Linked DNA regions of Lonchura striata. The protein of the gene in region 1 interacts with the protein of each later gene in a biochemical or structural test. Links are inferred from orthologs where the notes say so. Each region holds a gene or a part of one and is shown on either strand. Other genes may lie near its edges.

What was found.
Region 2: the proteins of RBBP8 (region 1) and CTBP1 form a complex in vitro, tested with the Homo sapiens proteins (3 studies listed by BioGRID and IntAct). The link is inferred for Lonchura striata from reciprocal best matches to the Homo sapiens genes RBBP8 and CTBP1.

Annotation. Positions count from the first base shown.
Region 1 is NC_134603.1:47,357,198-47,365,110, forward strand, and holds the start of RBBP8 (DNA endonuclease RBBP8), read right to left. Parts: upstream 3,002-7,913; 5' UTR 2,911-3,001; intron 9-2,910; 5' UTR 1-8. UniProt on the Homo sapiens protein: Endonuclease that cooperates with the MRE11-RAD50-NBN (MRN) complex in DNA-end resection, the first step of double-strand break (DSB) repair through the homologous recombination (HR) pathway.
Region 2 is NC_134606.1:7,055,812-7,063,192, forward strand, and holds the start of CTBP1 (C-terminal-binding protein 1), read right to left. Parts: upstream 3,014-7,381; 5' UTR 2,890-3,013; intron 1-2,889. Other genes in the region: E3 ubiquitin-protein transferase MAEA, read left to right, coding at 3,751-3,819. UniProt on the Homo sapiens protein: Corepressor targeting diverse transcription regulators such as GLIS2 or BCL6. Has dehydrogenase activity. Involved in controlling the equilibrium between tubular and stacked structures in the Golgi complex.

The DNA.
Region 1 (7,913 bases):
GCGTATGTCTGTAACAACAGAATGATAACACATTTGAATTTATCAGAGCACCACTTGTAGCCATGGATGAAATACAAAGTTTACTGTCTATCCTTGTTGAGGATACATATTTATATACTTTCACACTGACAACCACCCTGAAAGCTTGGACACTGCTAAGTATTTTGCCGCAGATAATTACAAACTAACAGAATTTTCTTCCCCTTAAAAAGTTATCAACCTAAAATTAGATTAAACCACTTAAGAGTCTTTATTTTTTTCTTATATAAAGATAGAATTATACCGAATTCCTGTTTTCCAAAAGTAAGCCATAGTGCCAAAATCTGGCTGTCAGCAAAAGCATTTGTCAAAAGTTTTATCAGAGATGGATTTGTCTATATACATCGTTTACATAAATTTGGATTCAAATTCAAATTACATCCTTTTGCAAAGAAAAACTCACATCCCCTTGAAGTGTTCATAATTCTATATTAAAATTATTCCAATTCCCTGATGAAAAAAAAAATGGAGAGTAATCACAAAAATCTATAAATCTCCAAAACAATATTTGAGAAGAACAATCAAAGTCATATAGCTCTTAGAAGCGTGACTGCCTACAAAATTTAGGATAATCTTACCCATAATTCTCAGTTGTTTTGAAGGGTTTTTTACAGGGATGATGCCCTCAGGCCAACTACAGAGGAAGCACGGTACTCAGATCTGGTTCTGAGCCAAGGCAAGATTCAATTCTACTGACACTACTGGTGTCCAATACTCAATTCTACTGGACACTACTGGTGTCCAATATTGTAATACTTCTGTAATCTCTGTCCTTCAGTTCCCTCTGTGTGAAAATGGATATTCCTCATTTTTATGCAGTCAATTTTAAACAAACACTTCTGAACAGGGACTGTTCATTACCAGGTGGACATATCTATCTCTATGATATTGTAATATAAAATGCAGTAAGAAAAAAAAAAAAGCTAGGTATTTCATACTATTCCTAAATTAGCAACTTGAGCAAGCAAACCATCATGCCTATACTGCCAAATGGAAGGAACAATTTGCTCTAAAATTTTTGAGGTACAAGTTCAGATGATACATGGTCTGTGACTAGTCAAGAAGCTGCGTTTCCCATCTTGAAAGCCTTTAAACAACTTAAGAGTATCTAAATGCAGCTACTGGTTTAGCTGGTCTCCCAGATTCACCACAATAAATTGTTCAGTCCACTGGTCAGTGATCAAGTGTAGGGCCTGGAGGCTTCAGTTCCACTCTCCTGTCTCACTCCTCTGTGCACGCTTTTAAGTAACTTTTGTTCAGTCTGGCTGTCTTTACAATGGAACAAAACAATATTCTCAACAGAAACACTTGAACTGTATGTTTTCTATAGTATAAGGATATTTAAATCTTACAATAATGCAGCCAGCAGCTCCACATTTGCTTTAACCTGCTCTGTCCTTAGCAAATTCAGGATATGGCTTCATGTTAGCAAATGTTCAGAGAACTCCTTAGTAGAAAATAAAATTACCCTTTGAAATTAGCAATGCTTACACGTTTTCAACATAAGCTGGACAGTGATTTGCTTGCATCTTTGCAGCTGAAATGCTCCACTTTGTGTGCAGCCACATTAAACCATCTTACAACACTTCTTTGTGGAACCAACTGCCTAGTGACATTAGGAATGGCATTTAAACTCTTGCTTTGCACCTTCAACAGATGTTTCAGGATCAAGCTTTTTTTCTGTCAAGCACTAGGGCAGTGAAAACCACATGCTTGTTTCACTTACTGTTTGAGATTTAAGTATGTCAGATGACTCATTTCCATGAAAAAGTCACCTGAGTCTAGACAGTAAATGGTGTCTGTAGTGGTTTTTTTGGATTTTTTTCCCTAAGATGACTGCAATAAAAAAAATGCACAAAACCCGCTCAGAGTTTCTGCAAATTATTCGGACATCAACCGACTACAAATAGTAAAAAATGAGCAAAGCATTTTCCCAAGCTTCAAGATACCAAAATGATACATTGCTCCCTACAGGTGTTCAACATCTCTTAAAACACCGGGCTCGCAAGAAGCGCTCAAGTCGAGCCTTTGACAGGCCTGGGCAGCTGCACAAGTGTAAAAATGATGGCTTAGTCTCCAGCCCCAAGAAACTGCTTTCCAGTCCTTAGGGGAAAAAACAGCAGGGCTGGATGTACGGACACTTGCAGGCAGGGACAGAACTGGAAGCTGCTTGGGGTGGAAGCACAGCGCCAGCCCCTCTCCCGGATGTCCTGCTTTGCTGCTATCCTGCCGACTGCCGCTTTCACAGAACCACCTAAACGCGTCCATTTCCCTCTGCTTCCACAAATCAACTCCCGCCGGCACGGTCAGGCTTTCCAGGGCTTCATCAACGATTGCCTGCGGGAGTCCGTCAGCACGGATGAACGCGCCGAGGCTGCTTATCGGCGTTGATGCCTTTCGGCCGGGGACGCACCGCCCCTCCGGGACTCCGGGGAGCACACGGCGCCGTGGTCCCCACCGGCTGCTCCTACAAACGCAACTCTCCTGCACTTCCCGGCGGTGGGCTTCGTTCTCTTTCCCCTCTTGCACGAACACCGCACAGAAAACTCACTCGAGAGACACGCCGGGATGCTCTGGGAAATCCTGCCATGACCAACACCTGGGAGCTTCCCGCCAGGCTCGGGTCACACCCCGCAGCCGGGACGCCGGAGGAGCGGTATGGCATGTCCCACACGCCGCTTCTCCCGAGCGGCGGGAGCCTGCCAGACGGAGAGAACGGGGCTCCCTCGGGCAGGCGGGCAGCGCCTGAGGAGCCCCCGGCGGGGACCGGGGCCGGAGGGGCCGCGGCGGGGCCGTCCCGGGGCGGGGCGGGGCGGGGGCGGCGCTCGCGGTCTCTCCCCGGCGCGGGATGAGGAGAGCGCGCGCCGTTACCTGGTTGGCTCCCGCCGGCTCCTCGCGCCAGCGGCGGGAAAAAAGGAAAAGCCGCAGCGAGCGCCTGGCCTGCCCGGCGAGGCGGGGCCGCGGGCCGCTCTCGCGAGGCTTCCGCGCTGCTCTCGCGAGAGAGGGGAGCGTGAGGGTCCGAGCCCCCGCGCCGGGCGGTCGCGGGGGGTTCGGGTGCGGGGGTGACAGTCACAGCGTCACGGGACTCGCTGGGTGGAACACAACAGTGGCCATCGAGTCCAGCCTAAGTGCTACGTCCAGTCTTTCCTTAGCACCGCCAGCGAGGGTGACTCTACCACCTCCCTGGGCACTCCATTCCAATGTCTACTCACCCTTTCTGTGAAGAAACTTCCTAACGTCCAACCTAAACCGCCTCTGGAGCAACCTGAGGCCGCTTCTTTTTGTCCTGTCACTTGTTGCCTGGGCGAAAAGGCTGACCCCCACTTGGCTGCACGCTCCTCCCTGATGGTTGTAGAGAGCGGTAAAGTCTCTGAGCCTCCCGGGCTGCACGGCCCCAGCTCCCTCTGAGCCTCCCGAGGGCTGCACGGCCCCAGCTCCCTCCTCTGAGCCTCCCGAGGGCTGCACGGCCCCAGCTCCCTCCTCTGAGCCTCCCGAGGGCTGCACGGCCCCAGCATCCTCCTCTGAGCCTCCCGAGGGCTGCACGGCCCCAGCTCCCTCCTCTGAGCCTCCCGAGGGCTGCACGGCCCCAGCTCCCTCCTCTGAGCCTCCCGAGGGCTGCACGGCCCCAGCGTCCTCCTCTGAGCCTCCCGAGGGCTGCACGGCCCCAGCGTCCTCCTCTGAGCCTCCCGAGGGCTGCACGGCCCCAGCTCCCTCCTCTGAGCCTCCCGAGGGCTGCACGGCCCCAGCTCCCTCGGCAGTTCCTCATGGGACCTGTTCTCCAGATCCTTTCCAGCTTTGCTGCCCTTCTCTGGACACACTCCAGCGCCTCAGTGTCCTTCCTGAATTGAGGGGCCCAAGCCTGACAGCCTCACCAGTGCCAGGTACAGGATTCTGCTGGCCACACTTTCTCTGACACAGGCCAGGATGCCATCAGCCTTCTTGGCCACCTAACGGCACTGCTGGCTCATGTTTGTTCATCGATGTCACCAGGTGTTGTCTCAGTCCTCTTCTCTGGCCCATTAATTGGGGCTACCACAGAGAGCTGCCAGAAGAAAGCCAAGGGGACAAGCCAGGCCACAGCTGGTGCCACAGTTCAGTGTCACAGCAGGCACAGAATACTCTGGAAAAGCAAGGGGGTGTGCGGGAGCCTGCATTGAAACAAATGCTGCCTCAGCCTTCCTGAAAGAAACTCTTGCTGGTTTAGATGTCAAGAGGATCACCAGGGTGTACAACTGTTCCAGAAGTGGCCTTGCCTTTGAGGCTGTGCTGTTAAATCTATCTGTGCCCCAGGATTTGTAATCTGCTTGCTGGGGCTTACACACAGAAGTATGGGGGGGAGGGGGGGGCTTCCCCCCACTCTCTCGACCTTAACAGTTTCTATGACTTGTCATTTTACTGTACCACAGAGCAGCCTAGGCATATTTTTGTGTTAGGTAAGTATGCAAACCAGTAGGCACATATAATTAGTACAATATAAGGCTGTTGAACTTTTTTGTTACTTCTCAATGTTATTTTTTTCCCCTATTTGGGACCAGCCCTACTGTCTGCAATGAGATAAACCCCTTGATTTTAGGTAGTTCTTAGTGATGAAATAGAAACAAAACACAGTTTTTCACTATTACTAGTCTGCCTTAAATGATTTCACTGGACCATTTTGGTATGTATAGGAATTCTTGCAGAGACATCTTGGTGGCATGACTAGAAGACATAATAGTAATCAGTTTGGAAGGGACAGTGCTGCAAACATATACTTTCTAGATCGTTAATAGAAATATTTAAAAAGTTAAGTGTTCAGGTATTTCATAATTGTTAGTAGCTGTTCCATCTAATTATTTTTACATTACTCAGATCACTCAGGTCTCAAGAAAACATCATAAATAAGGAGCTGCAGCATAAATAAAACTGGATCTGAAATACTATTTCAACATTTTTGAGGTATTTTGAAGTACTGTCAGAAAGGAGATGACACATGATTCAAGCTTCAAATCTATTGTTCCCCATTGTTGAGAATATTGTTGATTTCCCATCAAGTACATACCATGAATTCTGAAGTATTTTGAAAAAATCTTGTTCTTTTCTGCTCATTCCTCATCATTGTTAACCACTTGGTTTTTGACTTAAATAAAATGAATGTGTTGTTCAGGAGCTCAGCAGCAGATTACTTATTGTAAGATCAAATTGTAAGTTTAATCCATTATCAAATTAGTAGACATATGGTGGAACTAAAATTACCTACGTGTTTTGGAAGAAGCTGTCATGCCATAATAGGCTGTGATAGACACTCCAGTCTTTCTAAATAATGCTTGTTGGCAGCTTTTCATTCAACTTTTGAAACTTCTGTAACCTAAAAGTTTGTGATGTAGGCAAGCAATCATTTCCTCATGTTAAGAGAAGCAGATGTCTTAAATCTACACACAGATCTGATAAGTAACAATGAAATAGTCCTCTGGCTGATTGATCAGATATTTTACCATAAACTGTACCTTTCTTACTATTTATAGGAAGCACTCTGGCAAATAATTATGTCATCCATTTTATTTCCCAATAAACTCTGAGCTGTTTGTTTTCATACTCTCTCATGTTGATCTTTACAGCAATATAAATCCTCTGTCTTCTACAGTGCTATCCTTATCTACTCCACAGTAAGTGAAAAGGGATTAACATTAACGGTTGAACTTTTATTTTATCTCTCTTCCACATTTATTTGATTTTATGTACTCTGTAATCACATAGTTGACCACTGAATAGATTCCTGGGTCATTGAATGTGCTAGAAAACTACTGGAGAGTCTGATATTCCACATTCCCACACTGAGTGTCTTAAGATGACTAGTCTGACTGGAACTGCATCTCATTCACCTCGTAAGAGTAAACACACACACCTAGACAATAAAACTGTGGGAAAAATGCTTCACTGTTGCTGCGCTTGAACAGATATGAAACTTCCTGTGGTGTCATGGCTCGTGTCCAGATTTCAGAATAACCCATACTGTGGCCCATTGAACTAGGTGACAGAACACTTATCCATGAGCAATTCTGCAAAAAGGGAATCTTATTTTGTCCTAGTCCATTTTAGACCTGGATGGTATCAACAATTTAATCCTATGATAGTAGGTGGCACTATCAATTTTCAGTTAGTTTCAGTTATGTTTCAATTGCCAATAAGGACATCAAAGGAGCCCAACTTCAGATGCAGCAAATATGAGTATATGGCACAGTTGAGCTGCTACCTAAATGAGATTTAACTGGAAGTGTAGGAACTGGAAGTGCTCTGAGTAGCATGATTTCGTACAGCTGGGAGGGCACATAGACAACAGACACCACCACTGCTGTCTGGCACAGGTGGTTGCCTTCTCTGGAAAAATAGGGAGGAGCCACTCCATCACCCCACTAGTTGAATTTGATTCTTCTCAAGGGCTTGTATAGCCATGTTTGAAACTGAGCCAAGATCAAATTCCCCAATGCCAGTAATGCTGTTCATTTTAAGGAGCCCTCTTCTTTGAAGTGCTTTCACTGCCCCTCATCTATAGTTAGAAACTGCCAGGGCTTTTTCAACTCAAACTCTCAGGTCTCTTAGGAAGACTTGATGGATGGGTTAAAAACAAAAAGGCAACATGAGGGATGCTGTTGCAGGACCCCAGTGCAGTGTTCCTGGTCTTCAGGCTCTAAGCAGCAGCACCTATTTGTGTTAGCTGCATGCTAACACAATGTTTTGCTCATACTGATGTTTCTCAAGGTAACATGACCAGTTTGAGTAGTTACACGTATTTATCTCAGCTTTGGAAGGCTGAAGTAAAAGTTAACAGATCCGTGTAAAAAATCATGCCACCTACCTTTTACTGTAGTGAACAACATGAATTCAGGGACAGAAAAGAAGCAACATATAGGAATTAATACTTACCATTTGAGGAAAAGAATCCCCAAACAATAGCCCCTGTGCATCCAGCCCCCTAAAAAAAAAAAGGCAGCTGAGGAAAACCCAAATAAAACTGAACACATAAACTGGAGTGGGGATGGCAAGCAGCATTTTGAAAAAGTGGTTTATTTAGTTTGAATTTTAAATCTATTTAATATGTTCTGTGTTAAAATCCTATAGCTTTAGAAATCAACACTATCTTGTAGCATTTTAGGGGCTCTACACAGAGTTTTTGTGCAAACTATACAGTTCAGCCAGCTGTAATTTTATTTGGAGAATGGTTTATCCCTTAGTAAGTTTCATTACATATTTGATAGCAGAATCAACCAAGAATATAAGAAAATTGAACATTTTTTCCTGATGAATATTATCAGCCTCTGTGAGACTACCAAATTTTCCTATGTTCTTTTCTGTTTATCCACACTTTGAGGAAAAAAATATACACACACCTACAGCGCTGCTAATAAGAAAATTATTTCAATTCATTGATTTTTTTTAAGAAGCCCAGGAGGCCTTTTTCTTGGCACTCTACAAAAGAATAATATTAATTTTAGCATCAGCCTGGAAATAGCTGGCAGTAAACATAATTGAAGCTTCTTGTTGTGTGACTACCATAAAATCTAACATAATCCAGTATAGACATTTTGTATCTAGTGGTTTGTATCCACTGATTCTGATATGGGGTTTTTTTTCCATTGCAAAAGAGAATGGTAACTGTGTTGCTTAAAGTTAGACAAAATCAAGAATTCCTAGGAGACGGAAATAGTTATGTGAGGGCTTTTAAAAATGTAGCTACACAGATGTTGAGAAGATTCACATTTACTTAAGTTAAAGAGTTATTTTGTCCTAACAGGCATGACAAAACCTGTCTTCATTCCGTTCTATTCAGCTCAGCCAGTACTGTGCTCCAGTAGTTAATCAGTTACCAGATTCCACAGCTTTGTTTTCACACTGTTTAA
Region 2 (7,381 bases), on another chromosome or scaffold:
ACAACCTGTGCTCCTTCCCACCTGAACCAGCACAGGCCTTCATATTCGTGCCTTAGGCCAGTCTGGTCTGCAAATACAAGAAATGATGGTGACACACACCCACTTCTGCCTCCTGGCACTGGGGTTATAATGGCCCCAGAGAGGAAAGAGAAGCAAGTGTGGTAAAATCTCAATTCACAGCAGTTTTCTTCAGCGTATGAAAGCAGAGCACTGAGGTTTCTGCTCTGCTCCACCAAATAACACAGAATGTTTGTGTTCCTGAAAGATACATCATTTGCATGCAGTGTTTAATGTTTTTCTCTGATCATTAATCTGGAGCAAAGCTGAAGGCTATTGGAAAAAAAATGAGTGAAGTTCTCCTAAAGGTTTGGAGTATTCTCTGCACACTGCTTAAGTTAAACTAATTGCTAATTCACATTAACAAGACACTGAATGAGGACAAACATTAACACATTATGATTCAACTGGACAACCAAGAAATACAAAATGGAAGCTGATTTTTCATCTACCTTTTATGACACCAGTGGACAAGGAAAAACTAAAGAAGATACAGTACCAAACGTCTTAGTAGATCCAACTTCATACTTCCTACTGAAGAATAAAGTGGTAGGATTTATAAGAACTCTAAAAGCAAAGGCATATAGGCAATTAAACTAAATTTAATTAGATTAAGACTCAGCTTTGTAAGTTTGTATGGTAGGTTAAGCAGAGGACATATATTAGCCTAATATTCAGGAAAAAAAGTACAACCATAGTACATTAATGACCATACCCAAGAATAACAATAGCCATAAATATTTTGTTTAATTTAGCAGGAAACTACAGAATTTAACAACTTCATAAGATCATTAGCTTAGTTCTCATCCCCACATTTATCATGCCAACATTTACAATATAAATCAACAGCTGCAGACTACAGCTGAAAACATGCCAGAAATATGCATAGGTTGTATCAATATTTGCACATGGAGCCTTGAACGTAAATTAGTTGACACTCAACACTTCAAGCTTTCTCCCTGAAGTTGCAATATTTAAAGGTTAAAGATTAGACATGCTCCCTCTTGTGTTAAACTAAGAATACACGAATGCATGCTGTTTCCTCTGACATGATGGTTGCTTGGCCATCTGTTCCATCAAGCAACCCCTTTAGCTCTGGCTACTAACGTCTGAGAAAGCCTCACCAATAACCCTCCAGTTTAAAGACAGTCTGAGCACATAACCTGTATCCACAGAGTATCTGTGCTACATTAAACTAGCTACTGTATTATCAGAACTATCAGGACTATTAAGAGATTATATATAAACAAAACTTGTTGCAAATAAGTGTCTTGGACAAATATGTACATGACTTGATCAACTTCATGGCAAGTCACACTTCTTCAATCCCTATAACCATCACAGAGTCAAGGTATGACAGGTTCAAGCTGTTCAGTACCATAATCACACAGAATACTCAAGAGCAAATTTCCTTCTAAATATTAGCTTACAGGATATTTAAGACAGACAGGAAGAACAGGAATATTTTACAATGCCACATAATTATGTTTGTAAATACAGCAACAATTGAGCAAAGTTTTCGATCCTCCACCCAAGCAGCCCAGGATGAACCATTCCCTGCACAGAGCCTTAATGGAGTCAAAATCCCCCTTATAAAAATCCTCTTGCAGGATCTGGTCCCAAGATCATGTCTAGACACGAACGCTAATCCCAGGTGCAACTAGCACAAAAGTTTTACTAACACACTTCTCAGACAAAGGCTTTGCAACTGGTATGGGCTTGGTAAATTATGTTTAGGCATACATTTGCTGGTTATGGTCAGCACGAGGCTGAATGCTAGGGCAGCTGTGAGTAAGTATCAGTAAAAAGAATTGGGAGGCAAAGAGAATCTAACACTCAACTACATGACTTCCCACATTCCCTTTTATTTACCCCCATTCCTGGACAGATATTTTCAGTGCAATGAGGTCTATGCACATCAGAAATAATGCCACCAAATATTCTCAGAAATATACTTGCTCTTTCAAACCATGGAAGTTAAATGTGTTCGCTCCTCCTGGAAGTATTGGTGTTTATTTTCCCTCAGTCTTCTGCAGCCCAGTAAAAATATAGCCACAAAGATTAGAGAGAAAAAAAAATCATCACGGTTATTGATAGATACAGGTTTTAGGGTCTCTTTAAAGCTTCAAACTCAAGCAGCACACTGCTTGAAGCACATTTGCTGCCAGTGCATCAAGAAACTTAACTTTTGACATCGGCAGCAGCAGAATGAAGTTAGTATTTTACTGCACGCCCAGGTGCTGCGGGCACATTTCCCCTCTGCTGCACGCTCGCGGTGATGAAGGTTCTGTCCCAGTGCCCGTGTCACCACTGAGGAGCACCAGCGAGGAGCGAACACCGAGACACTGCCCTCTACGCCTTACCCAGAAAGCAGCTTTACATTAGGACTGACACTCCAAGAGCGTCTTTATTCCCTCGCACACACAAGTAGAAACTCTGCAGGACCGCGTCCCTGTTTGGTTTTTTGTTTTTCTTTTTAATGGAAACACTCACGTACGTCCGGCAGAGGACTTACTGCTCGCTTACAGCGGTGCTTGTCACCTTACAGGGGCCGGCCAGAGGTCAGCGGGTCACGCAGAGCCTCCGAGCGCAGCCATGGAGATCCACAGCCCGCCGGGAGCCCGCGCACACCCGGACCGGCCGGAGCCGCCCGAACCCCGCACCTGTGGCGCCCGAGCTCCGCTCCCCGGCGCGGCTGCGGGAGCGCGAAGGGACCACCGGAGACCCCGGCGGCCGAGCGGAGCCGCCCCCCTCCCCACCCCGTCCCCCGCGGGGCGGGCGGGACCGGCCCGGCTGCGGCGGGAGCTGCGCCCGCCCCACGCCTCCGCTCACCGGGGAAACTCGGCGCCGGCCCGGGGAGCCGAGGGCAGGGGGCTGCCGCCGTCTCCGCTATTTAAACCTCTTCCCGCCGTCTCCGCCTCACTGGCTCCCACTCGCTCCCTCCGCCCCGCGGAACTCACGGGGGCGGCCCCGCCCCTCCCGATGTACACACAGCCACACGCCGCCCGCCGCTCCGCCCGCCCGCCCAGACGCACCGGTCATTGGTTCAGCAGCCTGCCCGTCAACTCGAGAAGCGACAGCATTGGCTGGAAGCGCTGTCCATCACAGCGCGTCCCGCCCCGCGCCCCGCCCCTCCCCTTCCCGGACACCTCGGGGGTGTTAAAACGGCCGTTTGAAGTCACCAGCAAAATTTACTTTTAGGCCCCGCCCACTGAGTCCCAGAGCATGTTCTGATTGGGCCATGGGAAACGGCTCTCTGCCTCCACTGAGTGGCTGGGTGTCCATAACGCCCCAAATCCCGCCTATCCCGCTGCCGTAGTCCCCTTTGATTTGTCCGCGCCTCGGCGCGGCCCCGCCCATTCCCTCCCCGCTGCCCATTCAGGCGCGGCTCTCCGAGCCCTGGGGCGGTGCCGACACTCCCGGCGGGGGAACGTGAGGGAGCGAGCCGCTCATTGGCCGGCGCGCCGTCACTCTCCCTCCGTCTCCGCCCCCGCGGAGCGTACCAAGCCGCGGCGGTGGCGGGGGGGGGCAGAGCGCGGCGTTGGTTCGGCCCGCGTCCATGAGGGCCGGGGCGGGGCGCGCGCCGTTTCCCGGTATGCCGCGCGCGCCGTAGGTAGCTCCCGCCGGGACGCGCTGGGAAGGAGGGCGGGAGGGAGAGCAGGGAGGGCGGGGGAGGCCGGTGCCCGATCCAAGATGGCGGTGCAGGAATCAGCCGCTCAGCTCTCAATGACTCTGAAGGTGCAGGAGTACCCCACTCTCAAGGTGGGTGCCGGGCCGCCCCCCGGCGCGGGGGGAGCGCGTTAACGCCCTCAGCGTCCCGCCCGAGCAGCGCTGAGGGGGAGCCCCTTCTACCCCCGGTTCTCCCCGCCTCGGGAGCCCCGGGGCTGCGGGATGGAGGTTGGGAGCGATTCCCATCGCGTAGTTCCCGCCTGTCCTCGTTTTTCCTCCGCTTGACGTCTCGGCTGGTGCCGCTCCGCTGCTGCTGTTCCCATCCCCCTCCGCGGAGGGAGAGGGACGTGCCTGGAATATGCGGCTCTTCCCTGGTGTCTCCGTGCCCTGAGGGGACGGGGGAGGCCCCCGGGCCACGCTGGGGACACAGAAGGAGCTGGAAAGGAGCTGGGAGAGAAGTGAGGTCCTTGTGCTCGCGGGGCGGTGTGAGGGGGGAGCGGGCTGGGACGGAGCCGGGCTGGGGGAGAGGGTTTGGGGCGTGTGAGTGGAATGCACTCCCTCAGGAACGCCGAGGACTGCCTGACGTGCTCATCCCAGGTGATTATCTGGATCTACGTGGCGTTGTTAGGAGACGTGTTAAAGGGGAGAGAGTGGAGGTGGCAGTGTAATATGGTTCCCTGGCTGCTTGGTCCCCCGAAGATGGAGATGAGCTTAAAATATAAAAAGGTTCAGACGTACTGGAGGGCTATGGAGCCGAATAAGCCAAAATACAGTTTGGGAAAAGCTGTTCCTTGACATACTGTGTCTGCCTGCAGGATGGAGGTCTTCCAGGGCTGCATAGGTGGTCTTGGGCTTTAACCAGGTGTTGTGAGGCAGGTGAAGGACTCGGCGATGACCTTAACGCTCAGTGCCTCCGAGAACTGTTGAACTGCAAGGATGATGCTCATAGGAATCAACGGGAACCTTTGTTTGAAGTCTCGAGTTGTGTATACAGGAGGTTTACCACATAAATAGCAGCAGCTGTGGAAAGGACATGGGAGAAGGATCTCTATTGCAGAATGCTTCTTTAGACATCTCTCGTGTCAGCGTATCCACATTTTGCCATCTGTAGAAGATGTTTGTGCAAAGTCAACTTTGTTGTGCTGTGATCATGCTGTCCTTCACACGCTGAGCATTGTGTGCTCTTTACAGTGTTGGTTCTGCAGGTTCTCTGGCCATGTTCTTCTTGTGCATGTCCTCCTCCACCAGCTCCGTTCTGCTCGGGTCTGAGAAGGAGAAGGACAAAGTGTTGATTCTCCTTTTACATGTGAAGGCTCCATTCTTTCGCCCAGAAGTACTTTGAACCTGACAGCATCAGGCTTAAATTTTAAAATAGCTGTAAAGAGCTCTCTGGCACTTCCCATAGCCAGAACAATGTGAAGGCATTTAATGCTAAGAACATCGTTTTAAGACTGCATTTTAGGTGTATTAGAGTTGTTACCACAGATTTGATTGCTACATTCCTGAAAAATTACTGGCAGTGAGGATCAGTGAGTTTTTTGTTGTGGTGCTTATGACTTAAGATGAATTGTCAAGGTGCCAGCTATTTAAAAGGTAGAGAATATTTTGGACTAATTCTTTTATTTTCACAGGCATTCTTTTCCCCTAAAATACCTCAACAAAAATATACATAACAGAATGGAATGTTGTTTGTAAAGTTAGCAAGCTAAATAGTAAGAGGGTGAGACACCCTTGCACTGAAACTCTCAATTTCTAAGCAAAGGTGATGTTTATTGACTCTTCCCAGCAGCCATTCAACTTCTGGGTTGTTCCTGTAATCTTTGGTAACATTTTTCATTGTTTAAAAAAACCTACCAGAACAGTGTCTGCTCAAATCTTTTGAATGTGTCCTCTGAAATGTTCTCAGCTGTGAGTCATATATCAAAACATTTTACTGGTGAAGGTGGAAAAGCAGCACAGAGAAATGAACAGTAAGGCTAAAGTCTACTAAAGTAAGTTGATGTGAAATCTCATTTTGATCTTTAGGAGTCAAGTGCCTACAAGTTTCTGTGAAACTGAGAATCTGAATTTTTATTTCCAGTTTATTCAAATGCTGTGTAAAATGAATGTGTATAACTGTTGGGTTTTGGTTTTTTTTTTATTCACCAGCACAGTAGCTCAGATGTAGCTCTTGGAGCTCTGGTGATTTTCCCTTATGTGAGTAAAATAGAAAAGATTGCAGACTTGTATTTATATCCTTCCTGTTTCTTCCCTCTAGCTTCCTCATGCCAGCATCACTAGATAATAGTTGTGTAATAGTTCTACATTTACAGTGTGTTCCACAGAGTGCTTTCCATGTGAAAGGGTGCTTCAAACTGCAGAGGGAAATCCCTGCTCCAGAGCTAAATTGTGGTTGCTACTGGAGTGGAAATACTTGAGCCCTTCTTCAGCAGTTTGGCTCAGGGGAAGTAAATACAGTTCTTCAGCTGAATCTAGAGAAGCTCTTTAAGTGTACAAAATAATTCTTGAATATTCCCCCCTACACCCTCCAGTCCCTTCTCAAGGACAAGAAGGTTGTCAGCTATTCTTCTTGCAAACTGCTGTGGATTTTTTTTTTCTTTAATCCTACTGATGGGGAATTCTGCTAGTCTCAGATGAGAGCATGTAAGATGAAAGCTGGCAATTTGAAAATGAATGAATGCAAACATTGTTATCAGAGTTCTTTTCTGAAAATAATAAACAAGTGATGACAGGAAGCTGGATAATTCATCCATATTTTTAAAGTATGAATAATTATTAAAGTGATAGCAAGCTGTATATGTGAAGATCCCAAAAGTGGAAGATGCAAGACCCAAAAGCAGGAATGATCACTTTTGAAAATATTCTGGGCTGTTAGTTGGCAAGCAGTTTTGGCTTAGCTGATGTGCTAGTGCTTTAAAAAAAAGTTGCAACAGGAGAGTTGTAGAAGCACAGGATATGTCAGTGCCTTCTCTGAGCAAGTGTTTGGTTTCTTTTGTTGGCATCTCTGTCAGAGAAAATACAACAGATCTAATAAGATTGTAATTTCTCATGGAAATGCAATTTTTGGATTGTTCCAGGGAAACATGTAAGAGACCAGGTTTGTATGAAGTGCATGTTGTTTCTGTCTTGTGTCTGCAGAATAGCTGAGGTTAGAAAGGACCACTGCAGACAATTTAGTCCAGTAGCCTGCCCTCCAAGCAGGATCAGCTGGAGCAGGTTGCTCAGCACCATGACCAGACTATTCTCAGTTATCTTCCAAGATGGACACTCCAGCTTCTCGTGGCAAAGCTATTCCCCTGTTTGTCTGCTGTGTGGTACTAAAAGAATGTAACTTTTTGTTGACAGGAAATTTTCTGTATTTCAGTTTGTGCCCGTTGCCTGTTGTACTTTTATGGGCCACTGCTGAGGGAAGTCTGGCTCCATCTTCTTTGTTGTCCCCTTTGGGTATTCACACACCTTGACAAGGCTTCCCCTGGGCCTCTTCTGGGTTGAACAATCCCAGCCCTCTCAGCCCTTCTTCCCATGTCAGATTCTCCAGTCTGGTAGGGATCTCTCTTTACTCATTCCAGTGCGCCCATGTTGGACAGGGGAGCCAAAACTAGACACGGCGTTTTGGGTGGGTCTGAGTTCTAGTTAGAATAGAGGGGAGGGATCA